Tamandua tetradactyla: one gene and its partner. The main gene of each other region encodes a partner of the protein of the gene in region 2 in a complex. Links are inferred from orthologs where the notes say so. Each region holds a gene or a part of one and is shown on either strand. Other genes may lie near its edges.

Region 1 (11,613 bases), on a different chromosome or scaffold from region 2:
CTTGCTTTGGCTCCGAACATGACCTTGGGCAAGTCCTCAGGAGCTCTTCTGATGGAGAATCCTGGGATTCTAAGACAGAACTGCATACTGCATTTCTCCCAAGTTAAACTGGGGCCTGGGCAGTGACCCTTCTCCATTTATCTCCGCAGCAACAGCAGCAACTGTGACCTGGATTACAGACTGTACAGGGAATATGTATGCCCCCTACAGGTGGATGGGCCCACCTGAGTCTGGGCAGGCAGTGGGGCCTGGGGGGGTCTAATGCCCTCTCTGCCTGCTCCTTGTAGGGTATATGAATTTCAGAGGATCCCCTCCCTCATCAGCCGAGTACCTGTGAAGATCCGGAGGACCCCCATGGATATGGGGGTCAAGATCAGCTGCAGATCCCACAAAGCCCCCAGGAATAGCCACCTGGCCCCAGGGCAGATAAAACGTGAGTGAGGAGGCATGTGACTCTCTGTGACCCGGGGGAGCACAGGGCAGCCCTGACCAGCACTGAGGCCAGGAGCCCTGGTAGCACTGCTCTCTGCCCCTCGGGCCAGCGGAAACACTAACTCCAGCCCCTTTCCCCACAGTCCAGACTGAAGAGCTGTGTTTCATCAGAGGGGAGCTGAGCCACATTAAGGCCCAGGTGGACAGCCTGTTGGAGAGTCTGGAGCACATGGACCAGCAGAAGGACCAGCCTGCAGGTCAGCCTCCCCCAAATGCAGGCCGAGGTCATGCTCTTAGCAGAGCTCCAGCTTCTCCCACTCCTGAAGGTCTTAGGGGCACCCATGGCCATGTTTGAGCTTTCCCCGTCTGCAAGGCTCCCCTCCTGCCCACCCTGAGCACAACTCCACCCCCTCTGTGACTAGAGGTAGCTTCTGAGTTGACCCATCACCCTGCCTACTCAGCAGCTATTCAGAGCCAGGACAGTGGTCCCACCTTTTGTCCTTTCAAGCCCTAGATGCTCTAGGTCAGTACTGCCTCTCTTGGGTCAGTCGGGAATGAGTGGTGATTCTCCCTGCACAGGGATCAAGGACCGTGAGACCAAAGGCCCTGGGGCTGAGGGGTCCTTATACAGAGTCACTGAGCCCCACCAGGAGCCCAGGACTCAGAGAGCCCTTCCGGAGGAGGACAGCTCGGAGGAGGGCACAGACGCGGAGCCAGAGGTGAGTAGCTTGGTCCCTGCCCCCATCCTCATCTACTTGTGTTTGGGTCCTTGTGGACCCTTGTGACAAGGGAGGGACTCGGGTTTGTGCAGTAATCCAATGTGGTGAGGTACCCTGGGGAAGGGTGGGCCCTGGCCAGTTTTTTATCTCAACTCTGGACCTTGGTTGGCTCATGGGGACCAGGAGTGACCGCTGGCAGCTGGGTCAGTTCTGGGCTGAAATATCATCTCTTCCTGGTAGATGGGGGAGTTGGGGAAGAATACTTTGAGCATTGTAGAAGGAATGTCACAGGTGTGCCCCATGGCCCAGCTCCATGGCATGAGAACCATCTAGTAAGTTTGTTAAGACCCAGATTTCTTCCACCCCACTGCCCCAACATGCTGCCCAAGAATCTTTGGATTGTGTGCATTGTACCATGCTCCCCAGGGAAGAAGGCTTGGGGCACTGGCCTCACTGGATGGAGAGCATGGCCAAGCCTTGAACTGATAAAAACCCTTTGCACGGCATTAAAAGCCAGACTATTCCCCTGCCCTATCACCTTCTCCTCCCCTTGGTGGTCCCTGAGGCAGGCGGTGAATCTCCACTGCTGTTTGAGAGCTTCCCTTCCTCCAACCCACCCCCACTCTGACCCTTGGCCTGCTGGGCTCAGGAGGACCGTCACCACTGTCCAGGACCCAAGTCAGATCTCCAGTAGGAAAAGAATGAGCTAGATGGAGCAAATGTTTTCCTTTTCCTGGTTGCCCCCAGTTCCTTGGTCTCAGGAAGTCTGGAGTAGCACCGAGCTACTCTAGCAGAGGGTGTTCTCTTCCCTAGCTGTAGTGCGCCTGGGGCAGTCTTGGCCAGTTCTCTTTTTTCCCTACAGGTGAAGAATCATGCTTCAGACTGAAAGGGCAACCAATAAGATCGAATCCTTCCCGAGTGGCTCCCTTCCTTGTCTCCATGTGTCTGGAAGTCTACCAGTGGCTCCCATGTTACCTGAGGTACCCATTCTGGACACAAGGCATAGAACAGAGGAATGGCTTGGCCAGACCAGCCAGGAAGCCTCCCATGGTAGTGCTTTGGATGTCAACTTTCCAATAAGATCATGCTGAGGCCAGGGGAGGAAGTAGGCCTGGGACCAGATCACCATCCTCCTTAAGAAGCTGAGGCCTGGTCTTGTAGGGGGCATCTGGGCAGGCTCCCTGAGAGCCCTGAGAGCACTCCCAGCCTTCTCTGTGAGCAGATATTGCTTCTGCTGTTCTTGTCCCCTCCCAATGTCCCATCAGCACTTGGCCCCAGCAGTCCTGTCAGGGTATGGAATATTGTGTAGCTGTCAGGCCCGGGCAGCTTTCTCCAGCCACAGTGGGGCACAGGAAACATAAGTGTGTCCCTGTGGTCCCCTCTTAGTCTGAAACTGAGCTGTTATGTCCTGGGCTTGTGGTTCACTAAACCCTTTTTGGTTTTAGATTCCCCATCTAGATGATATAGCTATCCTTCAGAATAGGTGTATCATTTTTATGTCGTTTCTCTCGTCTCTTGCTGGTATGATACTATGTATTTCAAAACTGATCTGGAAAAATGTACTATGTCAGAGGTAACAAAATTAAATTTGTATTTCTTCTTTCTGGTCAGAGGTTCCTGGTGTGGTCTCAAAAAGCCTCCTCATTCTGGTCCTTGGACTGTCCCAGGTTGTCTTTCCTAGAGAAGTAAAGCCCTTGAGACACTAAAGTTTAGCGGCTCATAACAAGCTGGGGTAAAGAGGAGGGGCCAAGTCTTGCCTAGCTTCCTTCAGTCCAGACCTGTGCACTGACTTGCAGGGAACAGGAGCCATACAGAGCAGAAGACATTCCCCCAGCCTGTCTTGTGGTCATTCAGGCCAGCTCTGCCCTACAGAATGGCCAGGCCATATCTGGCTCCCCATTATCCTGGCAATTAGTCTGCCCTCTTCCAAGCCTGAGCTGGTTTTAGGGTTGTTCCAGGAGAAACTAGGACATGAAGCCAGCTAGAGGCCCCCACTGCTTACCAGCAGTGGATGAGGCCTCTGACTGTGCTGCTCTACCTGTGACACCTGGAAAGATGGGATTTGTTTCCACTATTCAATCCTGGGCTGTGATCTTGCCAGTGCCCAGTATGAACCAGGGGTTACAGGTACTCCCAGTGTTCCTGGGGCCATAAACTCTCCCCAACTCATATCTGAGCAGCTGCTCTGACTCTGGTACTTGGAGGGGGTGAGCGTCCCCTCCAACAAAGTGTATTTTTCCACATCAACCCCTGTAACTGTTTCAGATATTTCAGCCTGTCTTCTGCTTATACGGGCATAAGGGCCAGGAAACATGAAGGCAAATGTGTTCAGAGCCCTTGGCACCAGAGGTCTGAGTACACACTATTCAGAAAAGTCTTGCTATTTTAAATCCCATACCAAGAAGAACTACAACAGAAGACATTTTTCAGATATAAAAGGATTTTTGTTTAGTTTTAGCTCAGATAAGCAAGAAGAAACAGTGCCCTTGTTCATCCACTCTAAAGCAGTCTAGCTATACAGGAGGGAGTCACTGGCTGGCCTGCTCCAAATCTCATTTTCCAGATATAAGTCTTTTCCAACTTGGAGCCAGGTTGAATTCACAGGTTTCTTCAACTTGGTAGTAGCTGGGAGCCAGCTCAAGCATAAAAGTTTCTTATAAAGCACAACCCGTTCCAATAGCTGTCCAGTGCTATCAGTCCTGTGTGGGACGGTGGGAAGCCGGCCCCAGATCCTCTCCAGTGCTCTGCTCAGCCTAGTCTGGCGCAGGTCCTTAGTGGTGGGTCGACAGCAGCACGCTCCCTTGGCGGACGTCGTTGCTCAGGTCTCGGGTTCAGGGCGGGACGGAGGTGCCCCTTCGGCGAGCAGCCCGCACTAGACACTGCTGCAGGACCGGGTAGAGGCGCTGACAACCCTCGAGGCCCAGGCGCACGGCCTCCGCCCAGCTCTCGGTCGGGCCGCCCTCCCCGCTGCCCAGGAGCCCGGCCACCTGGTTCAGCACCGGCATGAGCGCCACAGTGAGGCCGGCGGCCGCGCGCTCCTCCTCGAGCCGCGTGGGGTCCAGTAGCCAGGTAGGCGCCGGGCCCGACGCGCGGCTCAGGCCGCAGCCCACCACCAAGTCGTACATCTCGATACCCGCGTCGGCCAGGGCGAGAGCAGCGGCCGTGAGCGCGGCGGCCAGCGCCGACCCTCCGTCCTCCAGCAGCAGCGCAGACACCTCGAGCTGCGCGCGCGGGTAGCGACCCAGGCGCACTGCCGGTTCGAGCGCCTCCTGCAGGGCCAGCGCCAGCTCGCGCTCCTCGCCGCCGCCTGGGGGCGCGCGGCGCCTGCGGCCCGCGAAGGGAGCACGGCGGAAGTCGCAGAGCAGGCGGCCGCGCAGGGCAGCCGGGGCTTCACCGCCCGCCCCGGCCGGGCCGCCGCCGCGCTCGCTGCCCTCGGCCTGGCGCGGGCCCGACACGGCGCACAGCACCTTGGTACCGCCCGCCTCCAGGTAGGCCGAGCCTTTGGCCTGGCTCAGCAACCCGGCGCGGGCGTACACGGGCCGTAGCCGCGTGGGGTCGCGGGCGGGGGGCGCCTCCTCCTCATCCGCAACATACAGCTGCGGCGACTGCGACTCTTCGGGCCCGCGGATGCGGCGGTGGTCCCCCGGCATGGCACAGCCGGCCGTACGAGCCACTTCCGCGCGTCCCCCACCTCGTTCGCCTGCTTTTCCGTTCGCTTAAAGGCGCGCGCCCACGCAAGGGCTCTCGGGAGAGCAGCGGGCGCGGCGTGGCCACAGTGCCCCCTGCTGCCTTGGAGGGAAAAAGGTGACTCTACCGAGCCCCGAGTCTGCAGTCTGGACTCTCTGGGCTCGTTGGACCGATGGAACGTCTGCGGACCTGGGCCCGGCCCGCTGACCTTTAGCCCCCCCAGGCATGGGAAATCCCAGAGCATAGGTCTTCATTTATGTAAGTTGTACCTTTTAAATTTTGCATATATTTGCGTGGTTACTCTATATCCATCTTCCTCACTGCTCCAAAAGTGACCTTTTGTCTTACACCTGTACCCTCAGAGCCCTGCATGAATGGAATTCCCTCCCCTTCTCCCCAGCCCAATATATTCTGTAGTCATCTCTGTATCCTTAAGCCTCTTAACTTGATGGGTGCTTCTTGTGCCTGTAACAGGTGGCCTGCACCTTTCCTAGCACAAACCTGTCTTTCCTTCTCCCTCTTCTGTCAGTAAGGCCGAGAGTGACCCTGGCCCCAAGATGAGCCCACTGTATCCACAGGGCATCAGTCACAGTCACCACAGGCAAGTAGCACCTTTTAATCTCCCCTCACACTACTGTTTCCAAACCTAGCTCTCTTTGGACTTGGGAAAACTGGATTCAGGCCCAGGGCAGGTGCTCCATCATCACTGTTGGTCTTTGGGTCAAGGAAGCAGCAATGACTCTAAATACCTCCTTTCTGACCTAACAACCCCATCTTCATGTCAACAGCTTCAAAGGGAGAGAGGATACAGACCTAAGAAATGGAGAGATTCTACTAGAGGCAGCTCCCCAAGAAAGGGAAAGGAACATTTGTTTCCAGTGAACCTGTAGATCACCTTTTAATAATGCCCCCGCTCCATCTCTCCCAACCTGTTCTCCCTCCACCTCCACAAATATGTCAAGGCAATCCCAGGGGAAAATCCCAAGTTCAGAAGGTCTGAACTTGGACTCAGCAAGAATTGGTCCTTTCAGCCAGGAACCAGCAGCAGCCACAACATTCAACCCACAGAAACCCCAGGAATAAATGTCACACTGGGGAAGGGGAAAACACATGACATCATCAAGTATTGCACATGGTCCTTTTATTCTCTGCAGCAAAAAATGATTCCCTATCTGCAGACCCAGAAGCGTTGGGTCTGCAGAGAACTACACTTGGAGACAGGAGCATGACGATGTTAAATAGCAATCCTGGGGTAGTGGTTTGAGACAGATGGCGCTGATGTTTAGGGCTCAGGACAGAAACGTAAAATGACCCCGAAGTCACAGGACATGACAGTTCCCAGGTTGTATTCCAGTTATCGCTGGGTTAGAAGGATGGACGGGGTTCCTCTGAAGGTCCCAGGGTTCAAATGTCCTTGCAGGTGGAGCACTCCCAGCTGGACGGATGCATCTGGGTGACTGAGAACTGCTTCCAATTGGAAGTCACCCCTCCCCTCAGTTCTTCACATCTCCCAGGCGGAGCTGGGCAAAGGAAGTGGCCAGCTGCAGTGCTTCCTGCAGGCAGCCCACATTCTTGCCTGTGGCCTGGGCAGACACATCTTTGCCACCACCTTTGCCATCCATGAGGCCTGATACCTGCTGCACCCACTCACTGGCCTTCAGGCCCCGATTGGCTGCATTCTGAAAGACAAGGAGAAATGGGAGTCAGCAGAGGATGGGATTGAGAAGGTGATAGAGAGGGGAAGGGAAGGATAGATGAGGGACCCAGATACCCATTCCTGCCTTGAGTGATGATGTAGGCCACTGTCGGAGGCAGAGAGATTATATAGTGGGCACAGGGTTGCAGCTGATGGCCACTGAGTATGTACTCAAGGACACCTAGGTATCAGCTGGTCAGTACGGTGAAACATATTCACCAAAGAGAAGGCCTGAGGGTAAGGGGTGCTGGCAGAGGTGACCAGGAGGCGGGCAGGGAATCAGCTGTCTCTAAGGGGGCGTTACACAAACCTATGTGAGCCTTGGCAGCAAACTGCAAGAATAACTAAACTCCCTCTGAAAAGCTAAAAACAACACTGCCCACTGTAACAGGTTGGGAACAAGGCTGCACGGAGTTCTTACCTGGGGGACTTGACACAAACATGTGATCTTGCCAGCCTCATTATCCACTGTGAAGAGCATGGCAGATGTCTGAGGGGAATGTGTCTTGAAAAGCTTCAAGGCTTCATTCAGAGCCTGTGGGGAACATCTGGTGTCAGGGCATAGCTGGGGGTGGGGGTGGGGAGGAAGTCATACTGTCCTGCAGCAAGTCTGCAAAGCTCAGCAGCCCTCCAAGTGCCATACCCCACCCCGCCTTCCGAGAGCAAGTGCTGGCCCCTGGGAGTCTGTACAGAGAAGGACTGAGTACAGCCCTTGCCCACACTCTGGCTCCATGGTTTGCCTTCCACCTCCAGAAAGTGCTCCTTCCCACCAGAAGCCACAGCTCTGCGGCCATCAGATCTCTCCATGGCTCAGCTAATCTCAATCCCAGGCTGCGGGTCCTCAGGCAATGACTCTACACAGAGCCACAAAGCCTATACTTCAGCCACCAGATGCTGATGAGACTATGAGGGACGGGAACATGCAACAGAACCCGCAGAGCAATGTCTAGACCCCCCCCTGCCCTGAGCATGCCTTGGCCGAGGCGCCGCTCTCCATCTCCAGGATGACAAGAGGCTGGTTGGGGTGGCTGTCAATGAGCTGCTTTGTCTTCTCCAACACCTGCAAGGAACGAAGTCCAGAAGAGAGGCCTTCAGGTCAACAAACTAGACTCAGAAACCCTGAAAGCAGTATTTACAGGCTTTGCTGAGTAAATACATCCTCTTTGCTCCCTTGTAGCTACCAGCACCACCAAGACTCACTCTCTTCTGGACATCAGCCTTGCTAGCCCGGTCTAGATCATCCATGACTTTCTTCAGGGATTTGAGATTCTCCCGCAACTCATCCTTCTGCCACTGAGGGATGACTGCAGTGGCCAGTGCCTGGACCAGAAGAGGAAGACTATTTGAATCTAGACCACAAGGAACTAGAACGTGAGGCTCCAGTCCACCCCTCCTTTCTGTTTTTGAATACCTAAGTCCTTCCCAAATAGTGTCTGGGACAGGGAGAGAGTAAAAAAAAAAAAAGGTTATCTACTGGCCCTGAGACCAGTCACTTTATGAGCACCTGCAACAGCTGTGACAAGCAGGGCTGGAGAGAAAGGGACAGGGTAAAGAGAAGCTGGGAGCCTGTGGAAGACCTGGCCCTTACCAGGCAGTGAACACAGAGCCTGTGATGGGCTCTTTGGGAAGCCCCTAGTATAATAACCACCAGGCAAGCTTGGAAACAGTGGGTACCCATAGCATCTTCCCCAACTCCCTTAATACCAGTGCTCCTTTGTGTTAAGGATGGGCTCTCCTGCTCTCAGCAGTGGGAGCAGGAGGCAGGTATCAGGATGCATGGAGTTTTGCAAGGCTATAGTCTAACAGAAGTCCACCCAAAGCCCCATTCCACTGAGAACCAGAACCTGATTGGCTACAGTGAAAGTTCTTTAAGAACAAGGATATAATGTCTTATTAGACACAGGAACAGCACTAAGCAGCCCTGGTGAAAGGAGAGGAGGGAAGCTGGGAGGGAGGGCAACCCTACCTCACCAAAGTCAGCTATCTCCTTCTGCACATCCTTGTTTGGTGCAGTCTGAGCCTTTACTTTGTCCTCCATGATAGAGAGCAACTTCTTCAAGCTTTCCGCTTTCCTGAGGGCCTGGAAGGGGACAATCAGAACCATAAAATCCAGAGCAGGTAACTTCCAGGTTCACTATTCTGTCTGTAAGCAACTGGGCAAAGCATGGACAACAGATATGGAGCAGCAAACCCTGAGACATCAGAATTTTTCCTTCCTTTACAGAGCAGGTATTTATAGCCTCATGTCTCAGAAAGAAAACACCTTCCTTGTGCCTGTCAGCAGAAAGGCTGGACCATAACTGGGCTTTAGGGGGTGACCAAGAACTTGCAAATCAGGAGCCATTTTCACCCCAAGAATTGATCACCCCTTAGACTTCAGCATCAGTTAGGGACAAGCTACTGTTCCTGCCCCCAAATAACTGTCCCTCTATACCATACATCTCTTACTATCCCTGGGGATACACAGAGACATCCTGAGGACAAAACTATGGCTTACCTCCCAGACATGGATATGTTATGGAGGTAACATATAAAAATATATGTTATGTTACATATATTTTTAAAGATTAAACATAAGAGTAGTGGTGACTTTATTCTGCCACTTAGGAATAACTGGAGGAAATTTGGGTGGGCCGGGAGCACAGTAAATTGTACTTTCAATCCTGACTGTGGCACCTGTGAATTAGCGGACTAAGCCCCTCTCGCCCAGTTAGCTAGGCCAGCCTCATCTACTCACCTTTTGGGCTTCAGCACTTGTAACACCAACAATCCTTCGGATGCCCTTGGCAATAGCTTCTTCACTCACAATCACAAAAGCTCCTGCATGACTTGAATTTTGCAGGTGCCTGAATTGCAAAACAGAAAGTCCAGGATGAAAAGAGCCTGGGAGCCTTTGGCCGGGATGTATAAGCCCTATTTTGTAATCCCTTCCTGGGAAGTTCTCTCAAGGGGTAAAGTGAGTAAAGGTCCTTAATGTTTAAGGGAATTCCGGAATATGGCGCTAGGTAAATGAGCACAAGAGAAGCAGCAGGAAGGGGAAAAGAGAGAAAGCCCAAGTCTGAGGGCATTATCACACTGAGATGCAATCTTTCTGAGCCTGTTGTTGTTTTTTTTTCCCATAAATAACATGGGTTGAATTCACTCTCACTAAGCTGTTGTGAAAATCAAATGAGATAAACATGAAAATAAATTAATTCACATTTTTTGGCCCTCTTTGATAGGATACAAGCATACATATATTCTTATACCCTGGCTCACTGGCTGAAAATGCTGGAGGATTACTTCTAAAATCTTATCACAGCCCCTTCAACAAATAGATTCTATTCTCAAGTTGCTTGGAAAACCTCACACTTAACTCTCACAATCATTCTGTGAGGAAGGTATAAGGTCTCTGAAAACAGTTTCCTGTGTTCTAAAGAACTTCTTACAAATAGGTATTAAGCAGAAGTGGGAATCATTTGAAGGCGCAGTTTAGCCAACCAGAGGGAGGTCTGGCATTTGACCCCCCAGATCCTGAGCCTATCCTGCCCACTGCTCCCCGCCTGCCTAAAAGCTTGCAGGAGGTCCTGGATCTACTGGATAGACTCTGCCATGGCCTTAACAATGTTCTTTCCTCCAGACTTCCGCTGGAAATAGGAAACTCCCCAGGCCACCATGACATTTCCCAAAAGACAACAAGAGCTATGGAGAAATCAAGTTGGCAGAAACAAGTGGCTCTCCCACACCAAACTGGTCCTAACACCATGGCCTGTCTTAGAGGTTCTAAGACAATGGAGTTTCATTCCCTGAAGGGAATTAGGTGAGGATCTCAGGAATGGAAAGAGGCTCAGAACTGGATCAAGAGTTTGATGACATGCCATAGTCTTGCTAAATCCTGAGTTCACACCAGTCTTCTTGTTAAGATCAGTTGAGGGAAAAATAGAAAGCCACTGTGTAGTATTAATGTAGTGTTTTTACTTCCTTCTCCTAAGAAGAACATTTCATCACAAACCTAGGAAATGTTAAGGTCAGACACTGAGGGATCTGATCAGAGCACTAAGATGCTTCTTGGGAATACCATTTGGCTGCTGCATTTTTAAGGACGTCATCTCAACCTTAGAATAACAACAACTGGTCTATCCTATTATCCGCCTCCCTAAAGGGTAAAGGGCAAGCGACTCCATCTACTCCCACTCATTGCAAGGTACTCACGTTCCCCCACAGAACTCAACAGAAGTGAGGGAGCCAGCAGGGCCAGAGGGGTCATCCAGCAGCTCGGAGACTGGAACACCAATGGAGACAACTCGCACAGGGTCAGGATAGGTTTCATCAAACACAGCCCGCAGGCCCTGGATAGCTTTAGCTGCTGCTAGGGGACAATCCTGAGTATAGACAGGCTGCCATGCAAAGAAGAGACAGAAAAAAAGCTGGGGAGGATCTTCTTTGGGGGTCTAGTAGGAAGCAGTAGGGAGAATGTGTTCTTGCAGGCAGGACCTTGGATTTCCAACCCCAGCTCTGCCAATCATGGCCCTGAGCCTTCTGAAATAATGCACCACATGTAAAGTCAAGGGGACCAAGGTAGGGTTTTTCAACCATTTTGCTATGTGGACACGCTATAGTAAAACAGACATAACTAAAGGAACTTAGCTTGTCCTGAAGAGAGGGTAGAGCAAAGACCTACCCAGCTTTAAGGAAATTGATGTGCAAGACAGAATATGTACAATGGAGTGAGAGCATCGAAATTGCTGAGGCTCCGAGGATACAAAGTGATGGTACCTGGAGTGAGCTCCATGACCCAAAAAGCTTAGACTTCATCCAACCTACCTTGGCTGCCTCTATCATCTCATTAGCAATTGCTTCTGCCTTTTTGATCTGTTGGGTAGACATGGCTCCCTTGGCAGTGAAGTCAAACCGAAGGCGATCAGGAGCAACCAGTGAGCCTCTCTGGTCAGCTTCCCCAAGCACCGAGCGCAGGGCAAAGTTCAGAATGTGGGTAGCTGTGTGGTTGCTCATGACAGGTCTCCGTCGGGGCTGTAAAGGGTAGAGCTGGCTAGTGTACAGGGCTGTAACAGACTGCTGGTTGTTCCCCAATACCTGTTC
Region 2 (12,667 bases):
GGATGGGACTGGAGGTGGGTCAGAAGACTGGGCCTCACTAAATCTTGTCTTTCCAGCCTTTAAATAACTCCCTTTGCTCCCTGGGGAAGACTCAGTAGGAAAGATTCTGGGGACAAGCAGGAGATGAATGAAAAGCTACAAACTGGCCTCTAAAAGACCACATAAAACATAACATTTTTTTCATCGAAAAATAGCATCCCAAAGAATAGGAGAAAACCAAACCGACTGGTCCATGAATCACTGCACCCAGAACAACTTTTTAAATCCAAATTCCTTATAAAAGTCTTGGGATATTGTCCAAGCCTGCCTGGCCTGGCTCAGAGCCTGGTGCCCTACCACAAGTTTTATTTATCTGCAGTACTCAGGAGGAAAATAATTCATCCATTTAAGCAGGGGCTGCCCCGAACTGAAAACTACATTTTAAAAATCAAGGGCTGGGGGATGGGCCATGGTGGCTCAGTGGCAGAGTTCTTGCCTGGCATGACAGTTCTTGGCTTCCATACCAGAGACCCAGGTTCAATGCCCGGTGCCGGCCCATGCAAAAAGAAAATAAATAAATACATAACTAAAGGGCTGTCAACAGTCGACAGACAAACCATGGGGTGGAACCCTGTCCCGAGCAGAGGAAACTGAAGCAGCTTTCTAGATAAAGGGTTTCTGGATGCTGGGATAGCTACTAAAGTTTTACAGTGTTGCTACCCAGGTGATCACAACCTTGCCAGTTGGGTGTGGAGTAATGGAAAGAGTCACCTTCCAACCTACATTTAAATCTCCACTGCAGCTGTGACTTAGAGCAAGTTTCTCAGCAGGTCTCAGCCAGTTCCCTTGTCTAGAGAGTGGGAATAACGCCAATCTTACCAAGTTCCCTTCCTCTGTTTCTGGGGGCATGACTTTTTAGTTCACTGAATCCTCAAAAATCATGCAGAGAGAGAGCAGTACCCTCAAAGTACAGATGAAGACACTGAGGCAACAAGTTTCAATACCCTGTTCGTAGATAGAGAGGAAGTATATATAACTTAGCCCAGAACTGCTTTTCTTCATTCTCTTTTCTTCACTCAGGTAACCCAGCCTATACTCTCTACTAGAAGCGGACAAGGCTGTGCTACTAATCCAACACACCTGGGGGGATTTCAGGCTCAATATGGTCCTCTGAGGCTACGTTCATCCCCTCATTACCTTGCTTTGACTTGTCCAAAACTGCAGAGCTTGCAGGAGAACTGAAAGTCAAACCACCTTCCCTACTAGAAAACAACTTCCCTTAGGAAAGGGATGACATCTGGTCCAGCTTTGCAGACCCAGGCCCAAGGCAGAATTCAGCAAGCAGAAGGGAAGCTAGATAGCAAGTGGCTGGGGGGAAGGGATAAACTTCAGCAGAGAAGCAAAGGTATCACAAGAGATGTAAAGAGTTGCACACACCACGTGATCCATGAGAGGTGGTACCATATAACTCCCGGGGAACTTTCTAGCCCTTGCCATAAATCCCCTTTTTCTTGAAATAATTTAAGAATCTCTAACTCTCCCAAACAAAAGCTCTTAAATCTCAAAGTCACAGGGTGAACCTTTAATGGAGTCACTATAAAGGCTGGAGATAGAATGCAGATGATTTAGGACAAAGCCATACTTCTAACAGAAGAAACAAACTTGAAAGAGGGCCAACTTTTCTTTAGTATTTAACACATGCCAAGTGTTAGACATCTCTTCTCCAATCATTCCTCACAACCCACTCCCCAAGTGGACATATCCTCATTTTACACAGGGGGAGGTGGCTTAGGTTACTGAGGTAAAAATCACTCACATTGTGAGCGGCAGAGCTAGGAAAGAAACTACTCAGTCTGACACCAAATACTCATTCAAACAGAGGTGGGAGACCATGTGACCTCAGGCAGGGGAGTAGCATAGATTTCTGCACCAGGCTCAAGGTCGTACCAGGCCAGTGGCTTCCCATTACCAGTTCCTGAGTCAGATCTGATGGCTGCATCAAAATCTCCTAATACTTTATGAAAATGTCCATCCCAGGCCCTAGCCCTGGAGATTCTGATTTAGAAGATTGGAGTAAAGTCTGGGAATATGAATTTAAATGTGAGTTAAATATACTTTGAGGCTTCAGAACCACTGGACTAAGATGAAGGTTAGTAATGTCTTCTCATGGATGACAGAAAGTACACATCTAGCCAGTTAAGCAAGCCAGGAAAGAGGATAAAACATAGATTCTGGAAATTCTGAAATCTGTCTCCAGGTTTCTTCTTGTGAACAGAGAAGAAACAGTTGAGACAAAATAAAACAAAAGAAATGCAAAAGAGGGTTATAAAGGAACTCGACTTGGGGAATATACTACCTGTGGTAGTTAGGTTCAGGTGTCAATTTGGCCAGGTGAAATGCCTAGTTCTACTGCTGTGGACATGAACCAATGGCATGTGAACCTCCTCTGTTGCTGATTACATCTGCAGTCAGCTAGGAGGTGTACCTGCTGCAATGAATGATGTGCGATTTAACTGGCTGGCGCTTAAATGACAGAGCTCAACGTAGCACAGCCTAAGCAGCTCAGCATACCTCATCTAGCACTCGCAGCTCAGCCTAGGCCTTTGGAGATGCAGAAAGGAATCACCCCGTCGTTGGAACCCAGAGGGCTGGAGAGAAGGCCAGCAGGGATCATCTTGTGTAAGAAAGACCTCAGTTGAAAGTTGGCTGCCTTTCCGCTGAAGAACTACACGTTTTTAATGAAATAAATCCCCTTTTATTAAAAGCCAAATCCATCTCTGGTGTCTTGCATTCTGGCAGCTAGCAAACTAGAACATTACCTAAAGAAATAACAGAAAATATCATATAATATTTAAAGGTCTAGAAAAGTTGGGGGAGGTGTATATGTTTCAGAATTTCCCCTTCTCCTTCTTGTTTCCCTACAAGCTTTTAGGGGAAAGGAGAAAGGAAGAGAAGTAGAAGAAGCAGAGATCCTCCCTTCCCTTGCCTCTAAATCTCTAAGGAATGAAAGGCATTGACTTTCACTGCTGTGGGAAGGTGACATGAGAGTATGGGCTTTGCAATCAATCACACAAATCTGGGTTTAAATCCTCACTCCACCACTCACTTACCTTGTGACCTTGAGCAAGTGACTTAACCTCTGAGATCACTTCCTCATTTATAAAATACAGCTAATGATATTTACCTTCAGAATAGTTGTTTAGATGCAATGATAAAAACTATGATACAATATGCACCTAAAAAAGAGTGGGTATGCACCTAAAAAAGAGTGGGCGAGCATACTGGTCTTCAAAGGCTAATTGGGGCCTTAAGAGAAAGCAATCAAATCATATATCAAAATAGTGATTTATCAAACTTTCCTTTTGCCCTACCCTCACCTCCTCAGATCCATTTTGTCTTTCTCTGCCCTAATCTGTGTACTAGTAGGTTAACCCCTTCCAAAATGTATCACCCAGACTCCCTAGATGCCTTCTTGTTGGGTTTGGTCGAAGGGCTCCCTAGGCCTTAGGGATATCATACAAACAAATCAACAGATGATTACACATCAAGACCCATGATGGGAGACTGGCTGAGGCTCTATGACCCTATGATGTGGTTTCTGCCCAACTCTGTAAGCCAATCTTCCACCATTACTCCCAGCTCATTCCTGTGGCTCCATGCTTCCTCCACCTGAGGTACTGGGGACTCACCATCCCACCCCCTGGAATGTTTATGCTACTGCCTAACTGGCAGTCACCCTGAAAGCTCAGCTCAAAAGCCATTTCTTCAGGGAAATCTGAAGAGACTAGATGAGTTCTCAGGTTTTTCCTTCATAGCACTCAATACAATTTTTAATGAAACATAAACACACAACTAGATTTGAAATTTCTTTATCTTACTTCTAGCATGTGAACAATATAAGGGCAAGCTCCTTCCTATCTCCCAAGTCAGGTTAAGCTATGTGTTAAATGAAAGAATAAATACTGAGTGCTGTAGAAACATATCTGCCATGGATTTAGGGAAGCAAATCCTCTGTCTTAAGGATGTCTTCCAGAGCACTACAGCCTCCAGTAATCTTCAGTTCCTTTTTTGACTTACACTCCCTCGGTATGTATCTTATGGCATATACCTTATATGCCATTGTCTATACGTTATTCATTTTTCCTGTCTTACCTATCTTTCATTTATGCATTTCACAAATATTTTAGTGCCCCTACTGCTTCTCACATAATATGCCACAGGCTGGATATTCAATAATGAAAAATAAACAACTAATTTTGCCCAAACTAGATCCTGAGCATCTCAAGGGCCAGAAACATAGCTTGTATTTTTTTTTACTTCTTCACAGCACTGAGCACATAATAGATGTGTAATAAAATGGGTCCTTAATATACTGCCGGATAGCTAATGAGTTGCCATTGGAACTTAGGACATGATCTGTCTAGCCTTGGGAGGTAACAGACAAGGAACCTATGTCCCTTGGTCCCACTGTCAGAAATGGAATGTGAGAAAAAATGGACTGCACAGTGAAATCAATATTTCATGACTGTGGTAGCAAAGAAAGAAATAAAAAGGATTTTACATTTAGAGGCAAATTGTTATCCTTAATGCCTCCCCAAGAAGCATCTCTGAGAATAAAAATCACATGAAGAATGGCACAAAATTAAGACAGAAGGATAAATTTAATAGCTCTGTGAGGATTTATATATCCCGCCCCCAAACAAATAACACACACATATCCCACTATTTCTGATCTGAAGCATAAACTTAAAAGCACATGGAACTGTTGACTCTATTATTCAGATTTAATATGTAACCTGTAAGCCAAATGTTGACATTTCTTCATCTATAACAACCGAGGATAACAGCACGGCACAATTTCAAAAAGATCATGAGCTTTATTCACCGTTGTGGACCTTTAACGATAGCTGATCATAGCTGATCGCTTAACCTGATGGCCACACCACGGGACCATTAACTTTGTAGTAGCAGGCCTCGGCTCAGGAAGGGAAGGGGAAGGGGCTGACACCAGAACTCTGCAAAGAGTGGGATGAAGAACTTGGACGGGAGGGCTGCACAGTGACATAACAAATGGGGAAACAGCCAAAGTGGGAACTGAGGTGGCTCATTACCAAGTCCAAAGTCCTCCAGTCCTCTGGAGTGGTCAAAAGCAGGTGTTGATGAATGAACACAGAAGATGCCTGGTTCTAACTGTTTCTAGGGATTTTAGCTCTCCACTGGCAAAATGGGAAACAGCAACAATTATGCTATCGATTTAAAGAGCCGCTTTATAAACCTAAATATTCCTCCCCTTTATTCGCAAGACACTTATATTTTCAAAGCGCATTCACCTAGGGTGCACGCTCTCTCTGTGCCTCCCAACTACTAGGTGAGGAAAAGTGGGCCAGGAACCCCCCACTGTGGAGGGCCAGGAGCAATCAATCAGGCCCAAGCAGGGAAAGTCCCCACAACATTGGGGCAGAATGTCCCCAAGAGTTTAACAATAACCAATGTTAGGAAACTGAGAGAACAGGATATGTTTTGGCAACAGCTAACGGCATTTTTCTGCTTCTGTGATATGCCTGCCTGCTAGCAACTGCAAAACCACAACAAGATTTTAGCCTTTATAAGCACACCTTGAAAACCCCCGGGTGCTGCTCTCTCAATCTTCCTCCTTGGAAGTTTCTGAGGCAGTCGCTGGCTGGCTAATAAAGACTCCAAATTCGCTTGCAGTTTCGAATTATGCGGTCTCTCTTTCAGTGTGCTCCACAACACCCACCCCCACGTATCCATTTCCTATAGGAGAAATCTAAGGCCCAGTCACGGAAAGTGACATGCGAAGGCCAAAGAGATGGTCCCGGGAGTAGTGCTCCTTCACTAAAAGCAAGTCTCCGGGAGCGCCCACCGGTTCCCACCTGGGCTCAGAACCATGTAGACCTGAAAACCGGCAAGAACGCAAACAGTCCTAAACGGATCACCAGTCCTAAAAAAGCCTACGTTGCAGGCTCTAGGTTGCAAAGACCGGCCGCAGAGCCACTTAATGACAAGGTAAGCCAAACCCGCGGCAGCTGAGTTAATCTCCTTCCGGGTAGGCCAACGGAACCTGGCGGCCGTCCCCCGACGCCACTACTGCAGATACCTGGACGCCATGCACAACATACACCTTCTCTGCCTCACTCAACGACACGAACGCCATGCTGCCGACTGCACTGCGCGAGATACGTCACCAGCCCGCGCCAACTCCGCGCGGATCGCACCCTCCCCGCGCTTTTGCGTCATCAACCTGCGCGGCGGCCCCTCCTGCAGCCGCTGCTGCCGCCGCCGTAGCTGCCGGGAGCTCGATGGGCTTCACCTGCGCGCTGTCCGGTAACTGGCGGAGTCCAGGGAGCTGTGGCACTTCGAGGCGTGGAGCCATCGCCGCAGCCCGTAAAAGAGTCCCGGGTGTGGGACTCCAGGGAGAGGCGACGGCGGCGACGGACGGAACCCCCCGGGGGCCTGGGACTGGGAAACTGCCACCGGCTTCACGGTCAGTTGGGAGGGGGCGGGGGTTGGAGTGAAGAAGCTGGGATGAGGCGAGGGCGCGGGCAGGGACCAGGAGACTCGCAGTGGGAGAGGCGCACGGCGTGGTTGGCCCAGAGCTGGAGTTGAAGTAGCAGGTTGTGTGTGTGAGAGAGAGAGACAGACCCCTAGTCTGGAAAGCTGGGCGTCGTAATTGGCCCGGGGCTGTCTCCTTGCTGTCCTTTCCTTTCTCCCCATCCTCAGTTCCATTTCCCCGGCCCCTAGAATGGTTAAGAGGCAATGAATCCTTCTTTAGATGGTTCTCAGTGGGTAGGGTTGATAGTGGAAGACATTAGTCCTGAGAGATCCTCACTCTATCTCACCATCACCCCCACGGGGACAGAATGCTAACCTAGAACTTTGCAGGGTCCCCTTGCTCTGGGCGATCGCCAAACCATTGTCTCATAGAGAGTAGTGGGGAGGCAACCCGCGCTGGCAAAGGAAGCAGTGCCAGGATGCCCCCTGCACTTCCCAGTGGGGATTGAAAGCCTCAAATTGATGGAGTTGATAGCTAGGAGCTGTGGACAGCTGCCCGGGAGGGTACGGGTGGGAGCCAGCCCCGTGTGGCCGAGTCAGAGTATGGGCCTTGGATATCCAGAGGATACCTGCAAGGTGAAGCTGGGGTCACCGTAGGAACCCTTTAAGACAGGCAGAGACATACTTTCATACTTGTACAGACATACTGTACAAGTATGAAAGGGGTCATGCAGATAAATGGAGGAGAATTGACCCAAACTGATTGTAGAAGGATGAAGTCTGATGACTTTTCTTGATGTCCCACTTTTGAGGAAACTCTCTGTTCTCAAACGTGAAAATAAATAACCTTTGATAGCTTGATCATCCAAAGAATAGTTGGTAATTCTCAGATATTGTCTTCAGTGTATTTTCTCACTCTACTATTGGGAAACTACTATGGATGAACCTTGCACTAGCTTTGGAACATGAAGACAAGTAAAAAACAACTCCTGCCTGGAGAAGTACCCCAAGGAGAGCAGGAGGCTCCAGGGCCAACATAACCCTAGAATATGGTCGTTAGAGCTATGATGGTATCATCAATTGGTGCATAAGAGGTTGTACAGAGAAGTGGTGTCTGCCCACATTCTTAGGCACTTAATTGCTGAGCCCCATAATAGATGATCACTTCTTAGTAGGCTGGACGTTAGTTATTTCTTATGTCTATACATAGTTTTCTACAAGTTCACCTTCAAGGAAGACATCTTGCAGGGTTGGGCTTTGTCCTCCAGGAAAGCTGCAAGAGGTAAAGCTGGAAGGGTTTCCTCCCTGTGAAGGCACAGGTGTCCCACCTGTTGGGGAACATAGATGCTTGCCTGTATAGTTAGACAGCTGGATTCTATGTGAGGACCTCTGTGATGAGATAACAATGTTAGAAGCAATATTTTGTGCTAGATATTGCTACAAAGGAGAGATCTTAGATGTGGAATTTTAATAACGAGGATATTTGAGGGGATTGAGGACTTAAAAGCTGGCAGCAAATTAACAGATCAGAAAAAAGAGAAAGAAAAATCTGAACTTGGATACCATGTGGCCATCTTTATATAAAAGTCTTTCATTATAGAGTTAAATATATAGAACATAAACTGCCAGAAGCTTCCTTGCTGGAGAGGGGTTGGCAGTATTTGCTAAATAATGTCATGAACAATGTCTGATACGTTAGGGTAAGTAGGTATGAGAGGTGTAAATAGTAGAATGTTAATTTTAAGTTCTATATTAAAATAATGACATCTTCCCTAATGCTTCAACTTAAATGTTTTCAGAAATTTTTACCACATTTGTTGAGATAATAAAACATTTTTAAAACTCACAAGTTCAGAGTTCTTTTTACTTTACTAAAGCAATTCAAAGAATGTGTAATAGCCAAAAAATCAAAAGTCAAAAATGGAAAATAGTTCCATTAACCCTTTTTGGGGCATACCATTTTGAAGTCTGTTTATACTAAAACTCTGTACTCTATTTTATTTAACACAGACTTACATAGCACTTGTTATGTACCATACTCTGTAGTAAGTATTTTACAAAAATTAATTCATACCTTACTAAAACCTTATGAGACAGGTGCTATCATTATCCCCAGTTTACAGATTGGGAAACTGAGGTGCAGAGAGGTTAAGTGTCTTTACCAAAGTCACAGGTCACATAGCTAGTCAGTGGCACAGCCAGAATTCAAGCCTAAGCAATTTAGCTCCTGTGCCTGCACTCCTAACCATCACCTATGTGGTCTCCCTCCAGGCTCCATTTTATTCACCAGAGTATTTGGTAAAGGAGACCAATATTATGAAATTGGCACTTGCCCTATAAATTATAGTTAGCTTTAATCCCAAAAGTGAAGAGTCTGTTTCAGACATAAATTCATATCCCCTTGAATTCTTTTCTCTAGAGAAACATGGAATGTGATGCTGACGGGAAGTTCCTATGTCTGTTTCAGCCCACTCTTTTAGATAGGCAAAAGGTTAGTTAGATTCAAACTAAGTAGAGCTTGAAGCCAAATAGCTTCGGAGAGCCTTTACCAGCAGAGGAGGCCGATGGATTTGATACAGATTCCAACCATGTGTCACGCTCCCAGAGTAGGCATCTAGAAACTCTTCAAATGATCAGGAAGTGTTGTTTGCATGCCTGCAAGTTCCCTTGCGTTCTCATGGGTGTGGAGAAAGATAAAAGAAACCCAAACCATAGCACTTGCCAAAAAGGAATTAGGAATCTATTGTAGTTGAGGGGCCTGGGCACTTGAACTAGGACATGAATAAGACAATAAAATAAAGTGCTCAATTGAGACGCATGGTAATTAGAATAGAGGCCAGCCTGTAATAAGGTACTAATTGTGCAGGCCAGACATCATGTGTAAGAGGTGATGAGCTACTACTAGATACTAGTGGGCAACAATAACTTTACGAAGATGGAGTAAATCTGTCCCACCTAGCCTTGGTTAATTAAAGCAATAAAAACCAGTAATAGAATTGCTGCGGGGCAGTGCATGGGGTGGTGCTTCCATCCACCCCTTGGTGCTGTAGTTGGAGAAAGCTTTCTTAGTCCAGCAGGGGAACATTTTATTCCTGGTCTTAGGCATGGCCAAATTTTAGGCCTTTTCTTTGCGTTTCTACCATAAGCCCAGCACCCCAGGAAAGTGCAAAGTGATCTATTTTCCTTATAGAGCTGTTTTCTTTAAACACTTTGCATTTGTCTTGCCTATACCTTGCCTTAAAGAATACTCAATATAAATAACCTTTCATAGACTGGCCGGCAGGTCTGTGTCAGTCTTCTGTTCTAGACATTCTTGGAAATGCAGTGATAGAAAAATTGATAGGAATATATGGGTAAAGCTTGTTCCCACTGGAAGAAAAGATCTGTAGGGGTGTTCCATTTTGAGGGGGTGGTAGGATACTTCCTACATCTCTCATTACAGTGTTTATGAGAAAAGGGGGTCACGTATACTGATTGTTAAATCTGGAAGTATTTAGGCATGCATACATACCCTGAGAGCCATAGATGGTAACTGAGTCTGAAGTAGAAATGCCTGGATATTGACCTGTTGGAAAAAAAAGGAAGCCACTGCTATGCTGCCTCTTATTTCTTTCCATTTTTGCATTTTTAAATCATGTACTTTCTTTTTAAACGGAGAATTCCAGCAACAAATGGCTCAGCCATCCCTGGCCTTCTTTGTGAAGGTGAGAAGGCTATTAGTTGCATGTCCCACCTAATTCAGTCATTTTTCACAATTTAACTGAAATGCCGCAAAAACTCTGTCTTTCATAGTCTCCTCCAAATCACAGTCTTCTTGGTCTAAAGAGACTTGGCAATAGAACTCTAGATTTTCTGTGCCACCCAAGACATGAATATCTCCTATTCAAGGTCAGTGGAGATGGAATGCCTTTGAGTGGGATCGATTTCATGTCCTAGGAAGATGAGCCTAGTAGGGCAAGTACAGTTTTGGCCATAGTTGTGTTCCAATAAGTTTTGACTTTGCTGTGTACAGAGCATGCATCTTTAAACGGAGAAATAGTTGCCGGGAAGTTAGAAGAGCAGGTTGGTTGGGTAGTAACAATCTATTGTAGGGATGTCTGTCTAAATATCTGGGTTTTGAAACTAACTTGCCTTATAACTTTGAACAAATCGCTTGGACTTTCTAAGCCTCATTTTACCCTAAAATGCATAACTTGCCAGGTTATAAAACTCAGAGTAGATCTTGGATATACAAGTATTTAAACACTGGAAAATGGTCATGTTTTAACTTTGGATTTTAAGACTGCTCAAGTTTACCATTTATAATAGTTGATGTATTTTGTTGTTGTTCTTGTTTGCATGGGCAGGCACCAGTGTTTTGTTTGTTTGTTTGGGTTTTTTTGGCATGTGTTTGATGTTTTTTTGTTTTTTTTTTTAGTATGGAACGCTTCACAAATTTGCGTGTCATCCTTGCACAGGGGCCATGGTAATCTTCTCTATATTGTTCCGATATTGGTATATTTGCTGCTGAAGCGAGCACTTGATGTATTTTAATAGTGCTTTTTCCATTCTGAAGAAATTTTAAATGAGCAAAAGGAGATTTCATTCCCTACTTGATTGAAGAAACTGAACATGCTCAGAAAATTAGCAGCCATTTACAGTTATTGTTGACTTTATAAAAATAATATCCCTTTTGAATATTAGCAAAGAATGGGGAAAAGAAGTTAAGGAAAGCTTTTGATAAAAATATTATAAAATTGAAGACATTAACAAAGATGTTAAATTTGCTCCTGAGAACAGAGGAGTCAGAGACTCAGCTCTGGTAGGGACCTTTGCAAATCAGCTGGACCATCCCTCTTGTTTTACAGAAAACAGGCCCAGGGAAAGTGAATACCTTGCCCAAGATCTTGAGATTAGAATGGCAGGACTGTGAGTAGAACTCTGGCCTCTTGACTCCAAGTCCAGTCTTCATTCCATTTAACATTGGCTTCCCATCTATCTCCAAAGCTCTCTAACAGATTCCAGAGAGCCTCCAGCCTGAAGGGGAGGGACAGTGAACTTGTCGAATACGAATTGTTTCCCTTGTCCCAGATTCCTCCCCAGTCTCTGCTTCTTGCATGGCCACTTATAGTGCCTGGGGATAAGTGGAATCAGTGGAGACCTGAAGGCCTAATGGCTTCCCATTTTTAATCCTGGATACAGTTGCAGTACCAGGTTCTCTTTCTCTTCCCTAGCTACTCTTTCAAATCCCTTCAAGCACTTTTGCTTTGTGTCACTAAAAAAGCTAAACTGTTGCCTAAGTGATGTCACAGTGGCTGTGTATCTGCACATGGCACAATGTGGGGCCAAGTGCCATTTGCAACACCCTCAGGTGGGATCCTTTAGCTGGTTGGTTTCTTGGAAAAAGCAGCATCCTGTTAATTGACCCCACAGACAGTCCCACAGAATTGTTCCTCAGCACAAGCGTATATGGGGGGCTAAATCTTAGAGTGATTCTTCTGGCTGAGGCTTCAGCCCTCCTGCCTTCTAGCTTAGGGCAGGATCAGTCTTCTGACTGTTGGCTGGTGATCAGCAAGGGCTTGACCTTAGAATCCAAGATGCTTAAGTTCAGGCCCATGCCTTATGAATGTCCCAAGTGTAAGGCTGAGTGCGGTCACCCAATAGCACTGTTTCTATATAACCATATGTGGGAAAGTCAGATGTAAGTAACCCAGGGTCACTGGTGGAGACAGCTATACCCTTTCCCCTTTTATTTTCTAGTTATTGGGCAAAATTTAATGGTTGGAGTGATAATAGGCTCTGAAATGAGAGCAAGCTTGGGGGTGTATCCTGTCTCTACTATTTCTGCAAGTATGACTTAGGAAAGTTTTTCCATGTCTCGGTATCCTCATCTCTAAAGGGGATGGGAAAGTGGAGACATGAGATAGAGTGAATGTGAGAATCAAACAATATGGGGCATGTCTAGCACTCAACTCTGTGCCTGGAGGGCAGCAGACATTCAGTAAGAGCTTGGGAAGAGTCAAGGCCCCGTCCTGAATTCAGCATGCCCCACACTGAGGCATCTGCCATGCAAAATGCCCATCTCAGCGTCTACCCTGACAGGGGCCAGAAGGCAATTCACTGTCAGATGAGAGCATGCACTTAATTACAAATGGCTACTCATAATATGAGTCTGTCATGTTTATTAAATGTGTAG

The links.
Region 1: EXOSC7 (region 2) and EXOSC6 share a complex: the UniProt entries of both Homo sapiens proteins name them as parts of the RNA exosome core complex. The link is inferred for Tamandua tetradactyla from reciprocal best matches to the Homo sapiens genes EXOSC7 and EXOSC6.

Annotation. Positions count from the first base shown.
Region 1 is NC_135342.1:68,674,096-68,685,708, reverse strand, and holds EXOSC6 (exosome complex component MTR3), read right to left. Parts: upstream 4,858-11,613; 5' UTR 4,802-4,857; coding exon 3,983-4,801; 3' UTR 3,583-3,982; downstream 1-3,582. Other genes in the region: uncharacterized protein LOC143660365, read left to right, coding at 262-433, 576-689, 1,012-1,151, 2,014-2,037; AARS1 (alanine--tRNA ligase, cytoplasmic), read right to left, coding at 6,332-6,517, 6,956-7,069, 7,508-7,594, 7,735-7,854, 8,501-8,614, 9,272-9,380, 10,726-10,910, 11,338-11,544. UniProt on the Homo sapiens protein: Non-catalytic component of the RNA exosome complex which has 3'->5' exoribonuclease activity and participates in a multitude of cellular RNA processing and degradation events.
Region 2 is NC_135341.1:41,893,896-41,906,562, forward strand, and holds the start of EXOSC7 (exosome complex component RRP42), read right to left. Parts: upstream 6,206-12,667; 5' UTR 6,155-6,205; coding exon 6,098-6,154; intron 1-6,097. UniProt on the Homo sapiens protein: Non-catalytic component of the RNA exosome complex which has 3'->5' exoribonuclease activity and participates in a multitude of cellular RNA processing and degradation events.